Linked DNA regions of Arabidopsis thaliana. The protein of the gene in region 1 interacts with the protein of each later gene in a pairwise test. Each region holds a gene or a part of one and is shown in the gene's direction. Other genes may lie near its edges.

Region 1 (5,156 bases):
GATTCACTGCTCTATGTCTGCTAACGACATCAAAGCGGGAACCAATATCGAAGTCGATGGTGCTCCTTGGCGTGTTCTTGGTATTCTTCTTCCTCAATTCCTCTTAGTTTATGTTATTATCTATACTTGGAACTTGGAAGGTTTCTGAATTTGTAGATACTATTACTAGTTCATGACGATTTAAGCATTGTTTTGGTTATAATGCTTCCACTTAGCTACTTACTAGTCTACTGAGGGTTTTTTCTTGCTTTGTTGGAGCAGAGTTTCTTCATGTTAAACCAGGAAAAGGTGCGGCATTTGTGAGAACTAAGATCAGGAACTATGTGAATGGTAGCACAGTCGAGAGAACATTTCGTGCTGGAATTTCTGTAAAAATCATCTCTTTTTCTCTTATATCTTAATCTGATGAATGATTTTTTAGTTGCACCATTTTGATTATGACCATTCTATGTTACAGGTTGAGGAAGCTAATATATATAAAGAAACCAAACAATTCACATACAAAGATGGGTCTCAGTTTGTTTTCATGGATTTGGTATGTCACATTGGATCCTTACTTCTCTTCTTCGCTAGTATGGTAGTAGTAGCTTAAAGTTTGTGTACTAATGATTACGTTTTCTCTTGGTTATCAAATCTTTTTTTTTATATAGACCACATACGAAGAAACACGTCTTAACGAATCTGATATGGGTGAGAAGACGAAATGGTTGAAAGAAGGAATGGATTGCATTTTGCTCTATTGGAAAGACAAGGTACACTCACTTTCAGCTTCTCTGTAAAAATAGTTAATAGTTCACGTAATTAAGCGGTGATGCCAACTTTGTTTCTCTCTGGATCTTTGCAAGGTTATCGATTTCGATCTACCGATTACAGTTAAGCTAAAAGTGGTTGACGTTGATCCTGGCCTTCGCGGTGATACTGTGCAAGGTAACAATGTTGCACCAATCTATTGTTGAGAGATCTCTTCTCATGTTTTGGTTTAAACAAGCTTAAACTGACCAAGTGGGGTGATGAATTTCGTAGGTGGATCAAAACCGGCGACAATGGAAACGGGTGCAATAGTTGCTGTACCACTCTTTATTAACGTCGGTGAAGAGATATTTGTGGACACAAGAACTGGTGCATACATGAACCGAGCGTGATCCGGGTCTACTACACCTAGTTAATTGGGTCGTTAACAACAAGGCAATGATACATCTTTTTTGTATATGAGAATGTTCGAATCCGGGGACACATGTTTGTTTTTCTGAACATCGAGAGACAATTTTTCGATTAAATAAATTTATATATATTTAAGTTTGATTAAAATCAGCAAATTCATACAAGAACTAACATAATTTGGTCAATCCTAATGCTTTTCGTAACTGTTTAAAAGCATGAAATTTTTTATGATAGAAAGGTTAAGAATGAATGAGGAACATCGAGCTAGAGAGATTCAATGGAATAAGAGATTAATGGCTTCTAAAATCTCTGGATACGCAAAATACTCTCTCAGTCTCTCACAAATTGATGTATTTTGTGAATCTAATGGCTGGTAAAATTTCCTCATTGTGGATTTCAAATCCACATAATCCGGAAAAAAAAGATATGATCTAAAAAACAACAAAAAGTCAGGAAGAATGGGCTTGGTGAAAGGCGGCCCACTAAAATAAATAAAGAATTAGTGGACAAAAAAACCTCCGCCGCATATTTAACAACTGGTCAACGTTCTCCCAATAAGATACGGCCACGTGTATGAACCCCTGGATCTGCGATGCTGCTCTTAAATTCTCCTCTCGTCCTCATTTCCATCTTCGTCTCCTCCCTCAGCCATCCCCTCTGGTAATCAATTCTCCCTCTCTATCTATGTTTGTTTGAATTCTCTCTCGCATAGTTAAGATTCCTTTTTTCGTATTCTAGATCCATAGAATTTATCCAAAATTCATGAATTGTTTCTAAGACACGAAACGGTTTAAGTTCAGGTCATAGTTTTTCTGTAGATCTCGATTTACGTGAAATTTTACTTACCAATAGATCTGAATTATCGAAATTGCAGTTCCTTTTCCTCGAGTGTCTCGTTCGGCTTCATGTCCTGTGGAATTTTTAATCTTTGTCCGATTCTGAATCCGGAAATTGTTAGGGATTTGGGTTTTATTCAAGATTTGTCATCGCTGTGAAAGTTTTCCCTTTTTTTATGTGGGTTCGAAGTTTTCTGAAAATCTCAATTAGTAAAAGGATCACTGGACTTGCTTATATTAATTCTACACCGTCTCTTCATAGATTTGGTCAATCCTGTATCTCAGATCTTATTTGTTCATGTGATAGCCTTTAAATGTGTGAACTTTTCATGTACTTGCAGAGCTTATAAAACCTTCATGGCATTTGCGCACTTCTGCAGCATCCACTGTTTCCTTAAAATCGGGAAACAACAAGAGCTTCTTCTCCTTGTTATTGGATTGCCTTTTGCCAGCCTTTGTTTTAGTCAGTTTTCTCCTCATTAACTTCTGTCGGTACAGAATCTCTCTCCAGGCTGGTGAACTCTTGCAGCTTTCTCAGTGATTCTGTATCGATTTTTCCCGTGTAAATTATGGTTTCCTCTCAGCGTCCTGTCCCCAACAAAATCCAGAAACAGCAATATCTATCCATCAGCCCTTCAAATTCTGTCTTGAAAGATGATGTTGAACTTGAGTTCTCTGATGTGTTTGGTCCACTCCCCGAAGAGGCCAATGATATTGCTTACGACGAGCCTGCTGTTGTCTACAGTCGATCCCACTCCTTGGTTGGCCCGTGTTCGCTCGATAGTCATTCTTTGAAGCTGACCAAGCTCACCTTACTAGAGACTGAGGACTCAATTGACTTGGTGGAGTGTCTCGAAGGTGAATCTTTAAAAGAAAATGATGATTTCTCTGGTAATGACGACAGTGACAATGAGAAAGCTTTAGAGGGAGATCTGGTGAAAGTCTCAGGTGTAGTAGGCATAGATGATTTTGAGGTTATGAAGGTTGTTGGGAAAGGTGCGTTTGGGAAAGTCTACCAGGTGAGGAAAAAGGAGACCTCTGAGATATACGCTATGAAAGTCATGAGGAAAGATCACATTATGGAGAAGAACCATGCTGAATACATGAAAGCTGAGCGCGATATTCTTACAAAAATTGATCACCCATTCATTGTTCAACTTAAATACTCTTTTCAGGTATATATAACACTTCTCTCTGTTAGCATCCTATTTATTTTACTTTACTATTTCTTAACTTAGAGCGTTATACATTCCCTTGCAGACCAAGTACAGGCTGTATCTTGTGCTCGACTTTATAAACGGAGGTCATCTTTTCTTCCAACTCTATCACCAAGGGCTTTTCAGGTTTGTTTAATTCCTTTTTGCGAACCATTTTTGAAGTTTCGCTAGAATTTTGTAAAGCTTAATTGGTTCTATATTTTACTCTTTCGCAGAGAGGACTTGGCTCGAGTGTACACTGCAGAAATCGTCTCTGCAGTTTCCCATCTCCATGAGAAAGGCATAATGCACAGAGATCTGAAACCCGAAAACATACTCATGGATACAGATGGCCACGTGATGCTAACAGATTTTGGTTTAGCAAAGGAATTTGAAGAAAACACAAGATCAAACTCCATGTGCGGAACTACGGAGTATATGGCACCTGAAATTGTTCGAGGAAAAGGACATGATAAAGCAGCTGACTGGTGGAGCGTAGGGATTCTTCTGTATGAGATGCTCACAGGAAAGGTAAAAGCCGCTATCTATTGTTAATTTGCTTGAAGCCTCATGTCTTGGTATATTGTTGTGTGATGTCTTGTTTTCCTTCTGCAGCCACCGTTTCTCGGGAGCAAAGGAAAGATACAGCAGAAAATTGTGAAGGACAAGATCAAGCTTCCGCAGTTTCTGTCTAATGAAGCTCATGCAATACTGAAAGGGGTAAGTAAATGTTGGTGCAGTTTGATTACAGAATCAACAGTAAACATGAAAATCTTTGTGCAGTTAAGAACTATGAAGCATTGTATTTAGAACAATTCTGACTCTTGACTTTGTAATGAATGTATAGCTGCTGCAAAAAGAGCCAGAAAGGCGACTTGGAAGTGGACTGAGCGGAGCAGAGGAGATAAAACAGCACAAATGGTTCAAGGGAATAAACTGGAAGAAGCTGGAGGCTAGAGAAGTGATGCCAAGTTTCAAGCCGGAAGTATCGGGAAGGCAATGCATAGCAAATTTTGACAAGTGTTGGACTGACATGTCTGTTTTGGATTCTCCGGCGAGCAGTCCCAGTTCGGATCCTAAGGCCAACCCTTTTACCAATTTCACTTACGTCAGGCCTCCTCCTTCATTCCTTCACCAGTCCACAACTACTTTGTAGATTTACTATATTTTTATGTAGTTCCTACTTCTTTGGTTGTTGTTTCCTTCTGACACATGAACATTAAAGAAAACTTTGGTTACCAAGACGCTTAATTTATAATTGATTTTATGAGATTGTTATTGATTGAGATTAAGTAGAGCAGCTAACACTTTGACCTTTTGACCCACGATGTAATATAAAAGAACGTTGAAAACGTGTAAATATAAAAGATGATAACGGTGATGCCTTTGGACCGAACTAGTGTCCGTCTGAACGTCTTGTAATGTAATGGGCTTAAAGAATTCCGGCCCACTAAAACAAAGAAGAAGTTCGGTTTCCCAATAGAACACGAACACGTGTCCTCACCCCATGATCCACGATGCTTCGGAAGACATAAAAAATGTAGCCACGCGCCTTCTTAAAACCTTTTCCTTTTTTGGTTTGGCACATTACCCTCTTTCCTGTTAAAGTTGTCTCGTCTCCTTCTCGTCTCCTTCCTCAAGCATATTCTCTGGTAATTCCTCTCTCTCTGTCTCTCTTTGACTTTTCTCTCGCAGAGTTTAGATTCTTTTTTTTTCTGGATATAAATTATTTACACGACACGAAACCTTCTAGGTCCAGGTCATAGTTTTACTCTATATCTGGATTTGTTTGAAAATTGCTTGTGTTATGCGCCAGCTTTTTCCCTAATATATAGACTAGGTCTTAATTACAGATATTAGAGTTCGTTTCCTCGAGGGTTTCTTTCGACCTCGTGTCCTGGTGAAATTTTGGAATTCTAAGGCTTTGGGGTTTTATTTGGGAGGGGATGATCATCTAAAGGAT
Region 2 (5,206 bases), on another chromosome or scaffold:
AAGCCACCGGTTGGTATAAGGTACAAATTCTGAATAGGATCAAGGATAAGATTTGATTATTAAGTCAATATAGAGTTGGCTTAGAAAGAGACATTAATGTATTGATGCTGAAGGTTTTGAAGAAACTGTTGGTTTTGCAATTCTTGTTAAAACACACTATCTGTTCTAGGTGAATATACACAAACTGATAGTACATATGCATGTGTACATTTTTTGTTTTTCAGAGATCCTCTTATAACCAAGACGATGTGGTCCAAGATGATAATTCAGGTATGTAGGGTAAAATCCTCGATTGATCATGTGTGGACGTTAATGTCAGATTAAGTATTTCACACCTTCATAGTTTCCAAGGAGCAAATACAATTCCTTGGTGATATTAAACTAATTAATTATTTAGATTAGAGACAAACACACTGGTTTGGAGACCTCTAATAATGCTTGTGTCATGAAATACCTTCCTCCAGGTATTTTACCTAGTGCTCTCGCTGGTACTCATAAATTCTGAGAAGCTACTGAAGCTGAAGCATGGTCAGACGGGCAATGCCGAAAAAATGATGAACACATTGATATTCAATTCCTTTGTCTTCTACCTGGTAATATCTGATTTTTTCCCACTCTTCTAATTAGAGTTCATATGTTGATCATCTCTCTATCTTTCTAAAATAACGCAGGTTTTTAATGAGTTTGAAATCCAAAGTGTAGACCAAACCTTCAAAGAAGTCCTTAGAGAGAATATGTTTCTCGTTACAATAACCTCAACTATCATATCTCAGGTAAGTCCTCTTTACAAGTGAACACAACATTTGTCTTTTCTTATATATCCCTAAACCATATATACTCTCTTTCTGTTCTTTCATATCAGATAATCGTGATCAAGTTCGCAGGCATTTTCATTGACTTGAAAAAATGGGTGACGACAAGTCTTTTGGGGTTACTCAGGTTCTGCTCATAAACATCCTCAACTACTTTCTTTAATTTTTTACTCTTCACATTTTTTCTCAATACGTAAATTTAACCTTTTTTCAGCCAAGTCGCCACTCGCTACCCTTACCCAGCCATCCAATATCATCGTAACTGAGATTTCTCTTGCCGTATGGCTCAATTCTCGTAAGAAGTAAGAACCATTCACTCCCAAAGTCTCCTAATGAATCGCATATGACTATCTTATTTTAGATCTGGCAAGTAGTTTCTCTCAACTTGCAGTTCTCATCTCAGGTCAACTTTTGAAGCATCCCTCTAGCTTTGGTCGCTTAGGAGGCTGTTGTTCTCTGCGCGGGTGTGCGTGAGAGATTAAATAATGCGGATTATTGTGCTGTGTATATAGCATACTACAGTTTATTCAGTCAATTCATTTTCCTCTTGAAGATATGTCGAGTGAAATGCGTGAAAGTCAAACATTTAAGTTCTGTATCCATTTCCCTTTCAAGCTATGTAGACTGTAATGGGTGACAGTCATATATAGTATATATAGTAAGCTCTGTTCAATCAATGCACCTCTTCGTTTTCGATTCATGAATTGTTTGTTGGATGTTCCTAAATCTTTGGATCCAGCTGATTCACCGCGATTGAGGTGGCTTTAGTTATCGGTATCCACCATTCCTTACTGCTATAGGTCGATCGAATCAATAACACTACGACAATTCGGGCTGCTTAGACAGCGGGTGCGATACTAGTTTATTCATACTCCTACTCGTACAAAAATCAAGAAAATTTCATCTCCATTCAAATTAAGAAAAAAAACAGTAAACATTCATATACCATAGCCACAATCACATTCGTGGCGGTTTTACACTACACCCGCCGCACCTGATCTTTGACTTGATATTTTTATACAACTGAGTCGGTTTTTGACTTTTGAGGTTGTGGACAGATCTAACGGCTAATAGAATTCGAGTTATCTACTTCACCTGACGCGGCAAAATCTCAACCGTCCCTTATAAAGCTCTTCGCGGTTAACATTTTCTCTCCTCTGTCTGTGTGTACTCGTGGTAAATTAGTCAGATTTCGATTTGGAACCCTAAAAAAATTCAAAAGACGATCCTCTTCTCGAAGAAACTCGATTCTTGTGGATTCGATTTCATTAAGGAATTTTGAATTGTTGCCTGTGATGGGTGGTTTGGCTATGGAGGAAATGCCTTTATCGGTGCTATTCGAGCAAGCTAGGAAAATTCATCTTGCTGCTTCAGAGTCTGGTGTTGATCAGGTGGAAGCTTCTACCTCTTTTTTATATACAGATTCGATTAGGGTGTTTATCTGAAATGGGTATTTCGAATCCGAATCGCGAGTTTTTACTGAATTGGACATTTCCGGGGATGCTTAGTTCATTCTTTTCCTTTGGTTTGTTAGGATGTTGTGAAGAAAGGATGTGAGATGTTTCAGAAGTGCGAAGATATGATCGGGAAGCTGGCGCTGTTTTCGTCTAACGAGACTAAAGAAGATATTAGCACCAACAATCTCAAATATCTTTTGGTATGCAATTGAGTCTCTGTTGTTTGGATTTTTGTAATTTGTTTGTATTCTAGTTTTGTTATTAGTTTTGGTGTGGAAAGATCTGAAAGTGAAAAACTTTAGCTTGTCCTGATGCTTCTAGTTTTAGCTACTGACTGAAATTCAAAATGGAGTCTGAGATTTTGGATTGTAACGTTTTCCATTGAACTTACTCTGTGTGGAGACCATAAGATTGTGTTGAGATCATAAGATTGTGTTGCGAGTTGACATTTCTATAAAGTGACGAGGGATTATATTGTCTTGTGATTATAGGTGCCTTATTATCTTGCGGAGTTGACAGAGAAAATCATACAGGAGGACCGGATTCAGATTGTCAAAGCCTCGTATGCTAAGTTGAAGGTTAGTTTTCTGCTGAGTGTTTACATGTTTTTGTATCCCTTTGATGCTATTGCAAGTGGGAATGAGCATTTGGTTGGATTTTTTTTGAGATTGATGTATAGTTTTGTTATTGTGTCTAGGAGTTCTTTTCGTTCTGTGAGGCAATGGAGCTTGTTCCGGATGAGGAGTTGGAGGCTTCTTCACGAGGAGGTTCTGGTGCACCTGCTGATCGAAGGGCTCTCAAGGTAGATTCAGCCCTGTTTCTTTTGTTTATGTTCTGACGAGAATGAAGTTTAAAGTTTTCGGATTTTGAAATGCGTGTTGTGTCTTCATGATTATGGTACTTTGTAGATAGCTCGGTTCAAACGTCAAAAGGCTGCAGAGGCAAAGCTTCTTGAAATTAAAGAGAGGAAGGAGCGACGTGGACGTTCCACTAAAGCATCAGCTTTGTCGACTCCGGTTGAATCTGGAGAAGATGATATTCCAGATGATGACAGCGAAGAAGAGAGAGAGGTTTGTCCCACTTTTTGTTTTGCTGCTTTCTCTAATTCGATTTTTTCTTCTAAGCTTTCTTGTCTTATTGCTTTCCTCTGCAGGCCTGGCTCTCCTCAATTAACTTGGCTATTTGTAAGGTTTGTCTAAAAATCATTTCATTAGAACCCTATGATTTGTCACAAGTTGAGGAGGCATTATCTTATGATTGAACTTCGTTACAGGCTATTGATCTGTTGGAAATGCTAAAGAGAGAAGAGGAAATGCTCTCTGCAATAAAGGAAAGACAGTTGAAGGTAGCTTACCGTGGTGTTAGTTTTTTTAGGTGCGAACAAAACTATTTGATAAACATATAAAAGAAGAAAACGTGTTATGATATTTTGATCAGGATGGAGAGGGTGGATTTTCTCGGGATGCTCTTGATGATCGTACAAAGAAAGCTGAAACCTGGCACAGAGACGCTGCTGCAAGGATACAGTACTCTAAACCGGCACAACCAATCACTTGTGCCACATTTGCACAAGATGTGTTAGAAGGAAGAGCTTCGGTATCACAAGGTCACGAACACAAGAACCAACCTCTTATATTCGGTCCAGCAAGCATCGTGGGTGGACCGCTCTCTACCGAGAGAGAAAGAATGATAGCTCAGGTCTTCCAACCAAGTCACAGGTAGACACAAAATATTGCTCATTACAAAATCTTAATCCTTTTTGAGATTTAAAAATGGTGATTAAACTTGGGTTTTGTAGGATGCCAACAATGTGCATAGAGGATGCTGGGTTAACAGAGATGAACATAATGAATGATTGGCAAGAGCAGACGAAAAAAGCCATTGAAGAAGCAACCACCTCATGGTACAATGATAAACCTCTAAGAAGAAAAGAAGAAGACGAGGAAGATGATGATGAAGACGAAGAAGCTGTGATGAAAGCTAGAGCTTTCGATGATTGGAAGGATGATAATCCTCGCGGTGCAGGTAACAAGAAACTCACACCTTGTGGCTGAGACTAGAGACCGAGACACACATTATTTAACACTTTCTCCCTCTCTTTTGTTTCTTATTTCCAAAACCTCTTCGTTCACTTATTATAATGTCTGTAATGTAATCATCTTTCTACTCTTAAGCCTTAGACTTACAGATTTTGGATTCACGGATTCACTTTCATTTTCGTTGGGAATATTATTTTTAAATACGCCGACTACTAAAGATACAATGTATATATCTAGTAAAATACTAACGTGTGACTGGATCTGAGACCATCTTTTGTTGTCCTCTATTATTGTGTAACCCACGTTCAATCACAGCACCATTTATGGAATCAAACAACAAAAGAGAAGCGAGAAAAAAAAAAGAGATAATAACAACACACATTTTGCTTGTGAATGATTTAACTTCCAAAGTACAATTAACAACATCATTAACATGTAAACCAGGATTCAATCTATACCCTAGTTTTCCTCCTGGAAACAACACTTTTTGCGACTTTAAAAATCAAAGAAGATGAAAAAAGTTGACAAGAACAGAGAGATAACAAAAGGGATCAGATTTGATCCAAAAAAACGGATACCCAGAAAAAAGATGTCAAATGATCAAATTTTGATGCAGATTCAAAGAATATGAATTTGGAGATGTACACAGATGATGATAACTTTTACCCTTGAATGCATTGAAACCCTTCACAAATCCAAAGCCAAATTCCAAACAAAACAGCACAGATGCAGAAATCAAACATCAACACAACCCAAACATGTTTCTTCCAAATCTGTTTCGCCTTTTGTCTATGATGATGATCACTCAACAAACCATTTCTCAGTTCCTTGCGTAAGACTCCATTATTACCATTCCCACATAAATCAACATTCTTCTCTGATATCTCCTGAATCGAAC
Region 3 (5,532 bases), on another chromosome or scaffold:
AAGTTGTTATCGTTAAGATAAACCGATTTGAGGTTAACCAAACCGGAGAGGTTAGGGATTGAACCGGAGAGAGAGTTAGCTTTGAAACTAAGAACCCTAAGTTGATCCAACTGGTTCAAACTCTTCTCGTTAAGTGAGCCGGTGAGATTCAAGTACTCAAGAACAAGCTTGGAGACTCTTCCATTCATACATTCTCTAACACCTTGCCAGTTGCAGAGATCTGTTCCTCTCCAAGAAATCGAATTAGATGGATCGATTGAAGATTTCAAGCTTAGTAAAGCTTCGACGTCGCTAGATCTCGCCGGAGTAACCAAACAGAAGAAGACTGTAAATGCAAAGACTACGAACGACACCGTACTCGAAGACGAAGAAGAAGAAGAAGAAGCCATTGTCGATGAATGATGAATCAATCAAATCAGAAAGAGTGGCTCTTTTCCTCAGCTCATAAAAGAAACAGAAATGATTGATACAGTTCGAAATCGAGTTTCCATAAAAAGCATCCCATGAATCTCCTCAAAGCCATCACTTTCTATTATTAAGTCACTTTCCAGATCTGCCCCATTATGCTAAAGCATCTCGATCGAAGCAAAAAAGGGAAAGGTAAAAAATGAAGAAGAAGAAGAAGAAAGTGAGAGCTCTGCTCTACTCTGCTCTTTAATGGCGGAAAGAAATCTTCTGGTAGTGAGCACTAAGAAGAGAAGAAGAAGCATTAAAATTCCCCGGCATTTTCTCTCTCTCTCACTTCACTTTCTGAGTATCTTTTCTCGAAGTTCTTGGTCGAGGAAGATGTCATCACGTGAAGCCATGCCTGGAAAACTTTTTTTTTGTTCTCACTGTGACATCTTCAATGCATTCATGAATAATAGTAGTATTATAAAAAAAATTAATAATGGGTTTATGAAGGAGAGACGAAGGAGAAAGAGAAAAATAATTCACGTATATTTTTGTCGTTATTGTTATGGTTGCTATTACTTTGCCAAGATTCAGAGACAGATAGGTTTTGGGGCCAAGGTAGTTACTGCTGCTGAGAAAATTTATATAGAGATTTTATGGTGAAGTGTGGTATGGAGCAGAAGAAATATGGTGGGAATAATTAATTTTAGGGATGATTTATTTAAAGTAAGGAGAGACATTGTTTTTCAATTTTATTCAGTTGGTGTCTGGTTCCTCTTTGCACTCTCTACCAATTATTGAGCTGCTTTTTTTTCCTACCTCTTTTTCTTGTTGAATCTTCACATGGTTTTTATAATATTTTTAATCGTATTTTAATATGGACCTCATGTTATTTATACAATGAGGATATAGATTGTTGGATTTTTGTTTGAGAGGAAAGTTAAAGATGTGTTAACATTCATGGTTGGTATTCAATCTCTAAAACGAGGATGTTGAAGTGTTTATTAAATTAGGAATTTATTAGTTGCTTAGCTTAAGCGTGATGAAAATGTAATAAAGAAGAGGTGAGAATTGAGTTCACGTAAAGGCTGAGTTAATTATTAACCAGCGGTCCACCAGTCCAAACACCAACCTCGCAAAGAGACTGCAGTCATTTAATTTGGCATCAATATTATTGTTGACTTCTTTGACCTTCAATGAATCATCAAGGTTTTCGACTTTCGAGTAATAAACTATAGTACATTTAATACGTTTTATATATTTGGTTTTACGTTTTTTGATACCAGTGGTGATTCTCTAGTTTTTGCCGTTTATTTAGGACATTGTTGATTTTCTTACGGACTTATGAAATGACCATGTCTTATAGACTTTTTAAAGTTGGTTACTAAAGATTAGACTTTGAATTAGTCCTCTTTTTCGATTAAACCCTAATACCGGATGGAATTTGGAGGGAAAGTTTCTAAAAGTTTTGGATTCTAGTTGACTCCATGACTGTTTGTTTTTTCTTACTAAGTTTTGACTAGTTGGTTAGTGTAATGGGCCCATGCTATTAAATTAAATGTTCAATATTTTGAGGAATATTATGGTCCTGGCCTTTTACAAGAGAATAGCATTATAGGTCCATGGGCTGGGTCCATCCTTATTATAGGTCGGAAAACATTTAGGGATCATTCTATAAGAATCTCAAATTTTAGGGCTCTTTTGCAATTTTAACTGCGAAACGCTTTTTTTTTTTCCTCTCTACACCCAAATTGAAGGGAAAAAAAAATCTGCGGATCCTCGAGAAGCCCTATCAAACACATAAAGTTCTTTCTCTTACTCATCTCCGCCGCCGGCAGTAAAAATATCACATCGTTAGGGTTTCACGGCGGAGATTCAAGTTCTTTGACCTAGGAAGCTTTCACTATCACCGGAGACTATTTCAATGGCAACCAGTCAGTATAATCATCCTCTCTGTTCTTCACTAGGACATAGAATTAATATTTGCATCTGTTTATTGACGATTTCTGTATATGTCGTGCTAAGTTTCTTCCGTGGTTTATTTCTGCAGTGGCTAGGTCGTTTCTGCAGGCGATATCGAAGGATGAGGCGGTGGCTCCTCCGCTTAGAGTTGTTCAGATCGAAGGACTGGTAACGTTTCTTAGTGTTCCCTGATTTTACGGTTTTAAGTGTTTTTCCTCGTTTTCTGCTGACCGATGGTGTTTGATAAATAAAAACTCTCTAGGTGAAGCTAATTTGCCCATTATCATTTGGTAGGAAGTTGTGATGCTGAGAATTTTGTTTGCTATTGTGATAGGCTGTACTAAAGATAATCAAACACTGCAAGGAGTTTTCACCGACCCTTGTCACTGGACAGCTTCTTGGACTTGATGTTGGTAGCGTCCTCGAAGTTACCAATTGTTTTCCTTTCCCGGTATGTTGATGAATTTTACACGCATTGTGAGGATTTAAGAGCTTGTTCATGATTGATGTACATGTGATTTACTGGAATTTGTATCTTAAACGAGGACAGGTCAGGGATGATGATGAAGAAATTGAAGCTGATGGTGCTAATTATCAGCTTGAGATGATGAGATGTCTGAGGGAGGTTAATGTTGACAACAACACTGTTGGCTGGTAGGTTTTTTAATGACATCAGTCTGAGTTCACTTGTTAAATTTTTTCTTGTGAATGTATTTAGATCTGCCTAATTCTTTGTTCAGGTATCAATCTACAGTTCTTGGTTCGTATCAGACTGTGGAACTGATTGAGACCTTCATGAATTACCAGGTACTTTTTTTTTTGTTAAAGAATCCTGTCTACCATGTCATTATAACATTCTAGATTTGGTCTGTTCATATGTTATGCTCTTCATTCAGCTGGAAATTTATATGTATAGCATGGCTACTCTAGTGTATGATAGGTATATTGGCATGTGTAAAAGTTGAATGTAAATTGGATCATGAATATATTTTCTGAGACTTTTTTTGTCCGCAACTCTGTTACAATCCCTTGCAGAATCATGATATGAACTCTTAAGAAATGATTCTTCTGCATCTACAGGAGAATATCAAGAGGTGTGTGTGCATCATATATGATCCCTCTAAAGCTGATCTAGGCGTCTTAGCTTTGAAGGCTTTGAAGCTTTCAGATTCCTTTATGGAGTTGTACCGAGGTGGAAACTTTACTGGCGAGAAGTATGTATCTTGATCCATTGAAAATCTAGGTTTTATGAGCCACTTAGGATGATAGTTGTAACGTTTTAATCACTATCTTTTTCAGGTTGAGAGAGAAAAATTTCTCCTGGATGGATATTTTTGAGGAAATACCTGTAAGTCTCTAGCTTTCTTCTATATTGAATTCTTACCAGCTAATCTTTTCAAGTCACTAGGTTGGAATTGTTACCTAATTATATTTTCCTCTGACAAAAAAAGTGGTTTAAATGTTTGTTACTTTTCCTTTGACAGATCAAGGTTTCAAATTCTGCCCTTGTCAGTGCCTTTATGACCGAACTGGAGACTGATACACCTGTCTCACAGGTACAATACTACTATCTGGATAGTGATCCTTGCTTGCTGTCAGCATTGCAGATTTTGACTCTTGATACTTCTGTATTTTCGCCTTTCTAGGGCGATTATGATCGTCTACACTCATCAACCACTCCTTTCCTTGAGAACAATATGGAGTTTTTGATTAAATGCATGGATGATTTATCTATGGAACAGCAAAAGGTGTGGTTTCTTCTGCACTCTTGTTCAATTCTCATCATCAGAAGTCCGAACTATCTTAACGCAAAATCTTAATTTATTTCTCCAGTTCCAGTATTACTACCGGAACCTGTCTCGTCAGCAAGCACAACAGCAAGCCTGGCTCCAGAAGAGAAGGTAGGTTTATATTTTCTGCAGAACCTTTTTGTTCTAGTTCAGGTTTGATTAGTTTCACTACCTCGTTATCTTGGAAGGTGATACAACTTTACTTACGAGAGTTGTGAATGCCTTGTAACATTTGTCTTCAGCTTTTCCTTGTCCTTTTGATCTTCCAACTAATGAAAGAGGTGTTTGGTTTATAGAACGGAGAACATGGCTCGTAAATCAGCTGGAGAGGAGCCTTTACCAGAAGAGGATCCTTCAAACCCAATCTTTAAGGCGATCCCTGAACCATCTAGGCTAGAGAGTTTCCTCATCACAAACCAAGTCTCAAACTTCTGTGGCCAAATCAATGGGTATGTTCCTCTTTAGTATTGTTTCACCATTTTTGGAGCTTTGAAAGATACTTAAAATGAGTCGACCTGTTGTTATGCAGAGTGGCTGGCCAGAACTTCAGCAGGCTTTACCTGACCAAAGCATTGCACGACAACTGATTGCAAAGACTACCCAAGTTTTTGTTTTTTGAGTCAGAAAGTGAAAGACTTGGTGGTAGAATGGATCCTATATTTGTTTTTCGTGGATGTTTTTGTTTTTATTTTTGTTGTTGTGAAGTAATTTAATTTACAAGCTTTTCAAAAAAAATCTTTATTCTTATGCATAATGAAAAATTATTGAAGTTTTGAAAGATTTATCTTGTATTGGACCTCTGATTGCCTTACAACAAATTATACATAGTTATCAAAATCCTAATCAAAAGAGTAAAAAATCTAATTTATAGAGATTTTATTATAGTTGTAGTGTTAGTTCCATCGCTAAATCCCTTGAACGACAACGTTTATTATTTCTTCTTCGGACGATTGTTTGAAGAAATTTAAAAACGACATCTTTTTATTACTTCCTCTTCGAAAGATTGTTTACCAACAAGAACAATGGCGGTTTATCATCTCCTTCTCTCGAGCCCACCTTCGCTTCTTCTTCTCCCTCCTTCTCCTCGCCGCCCTAACCTCACCTTAATCCGCCGTATCCCAGCTCATCCTCGCCTCGGAAACTCGACCAGCTTGCTTTCTTCTTCGTCACCGGTAATTCGGAAAATTCTGGTTCGTAGCACTCTCCGGGAAGACCAACCCATCGCCTCTGACTCCGAGAGTAGTCCTACTCTACTGATCGGTGAAGATTCTGCTGCTTTTGAATTAGGGAAACAGAAGCTTGTTTCCTGGGTTTATTTCGGTGTTGTCCTTGGAGTTGTTCTCTTTATCCTCAATGTTGTTTGGATCGATAATTCCACCGGTTTCGG

Evidence for each region.
Region 2: the proteins of PK1 (region 1) and TAP46 come close enough for resonance energy transfer, tested with the Arabidopsis thaliana proteins (one study listed by BioGRID).
Region 3: the proteins of PK1 (region 1) and TIF3H1 interact in binary tests that used the Arabidopsis thaliana proteins (3 or more experiments, as listed by UniProt).

Annotation. Positions count from the first base shown.
Region 1 is NC_003074.8:2,650,774-2,655,929, reverse strand, and holds PK1 (protein-serine kinase 1), read left to right. Parts: upstream 1-1,717; 5' UTR 1,718-1,821; exon of another isoform or gene 1,822-2,338; 5' UTR 2,339-2,566; coding exon 2,567-3,172; intron 3,173-3,257; coding exon 3,258-3,340; intron 3,341-3,429; coding exon 3,430-3,724; intron 3,725-3,808; coding exon 3,809-3,913; intron 3,914-4,040; coding exon 4,041-4,349; 3' UTR 4,350-4,609; downstream 4,610-5,156. Other genes in the region: AT3G08740 (elongation factor P (EF-P) family protein), read left to right, coding at 1-80, 262-368, 458-535, 651-752, 846-927, 1,024-1,142. UniProt on the Arabidopsis thaliana protein: Downstream effector of TOR signaling pathway involved in osmotic stress response. Could be involved in the control of plant growth and development. Phosphorylates the ribosomal proteins P14, P16 and S6.
Region 2 is NC_003076.8:21,484,771-21,489,976, reverse strand, and holds TAP46 (2A phosphatase associated protein of 46 kD), read left to right. Parts: upstream 1-1,934; 5' UTR 1,935-2,107; coding exon 2,108-2,203; intron 2,204-2,346; coding exon 2,347-2,469; intron 2,470-2,760; coding exon 2,761-2,847; intron 2,848-2,966; coding exon 2,967-3,071; intron 3,072-3,177; coding exon 3,178-3,339; intron 3,340-3,422; coding exon 3,423-3,458; intron 3,459-3,542; coding exon 3,543-3,614; intron 3,615-3,706; coding exon 3,707-3,987; intron 3,988-4,067; coding exon 4,068-4,323; 3' UTR 4,324-4,660; downstream 4,661-5,206. Other genes in the region: AT5G53010 (calcium-transporting ATPase), read left to right, coding at 1-20, 225-270, 465-593, 672-773, 863-939, 1,027-1,078; AT5G52990 (SNARE-like superfamily protein), read right to left, coding at 4,971-5,206. UniProt on the Arabidopsis thaliana protein: Involved in the positive regulation of the TOR signaling pathway. Acts as a negative regulator of PP2A catalytic activity. Plays a positive role in the ABA-regulated inhibition of germination, probably throught its interaction with ABI5.
Region 3 is NC_003070.9:3,607,085-3,612,616, reverse strand, and holds TIF3H1 (translation initiation factor 3 subunit H1), read left to right. Parts: upstream 1-2,000; 5' UTR 2,001-2,317; coding exon 2,318-2,327; exon of another isoform or gene 2,328-2,443; coding exon 2,444-2,523; intron 2,524-2,689; coding exon 2,690-2,806; intron 2,807-2,905; coding exon 2,906-3,009; intron 3,010-3,095; coding exon 3,096-3,162; intron 3,163-3,435; coding exon 3,436-3,569; intron 3,570-3,654; coding exon 3,655-3,703; intron 3,704-3,839; coding exon 3,840-3,911; intron 3,912-4,001; coding exon 4,002-4,103; intron 4,104-4,188; coding exon 4,189-4,256; intron 4,257-4,441; coding exon 4,442-4,594; intron 4,595-4,674; coding exon 4,675-4,732; 3' UTR 4,733-4,986; downstream 4,987-5,532. Other genes in the region: AT1G10850 (Leucine-rich repeat protein kinase family protein), read right to left, coding at 1-389; Z-ISO (15-cis-zeta-carotene isomerase), read left to right, coding at 5,168-5,532. UniProt on the Arabidopsis thaliana protein: Component of the eukaryotic translation initiation factor 3 (eIF-3) complex, which is involved in protein synthesis of a specialized repertoire of mRNAs and, together with other initiation factors, stimulates binding of mRNA and methionyl-tRNAi to the 40S ribosome.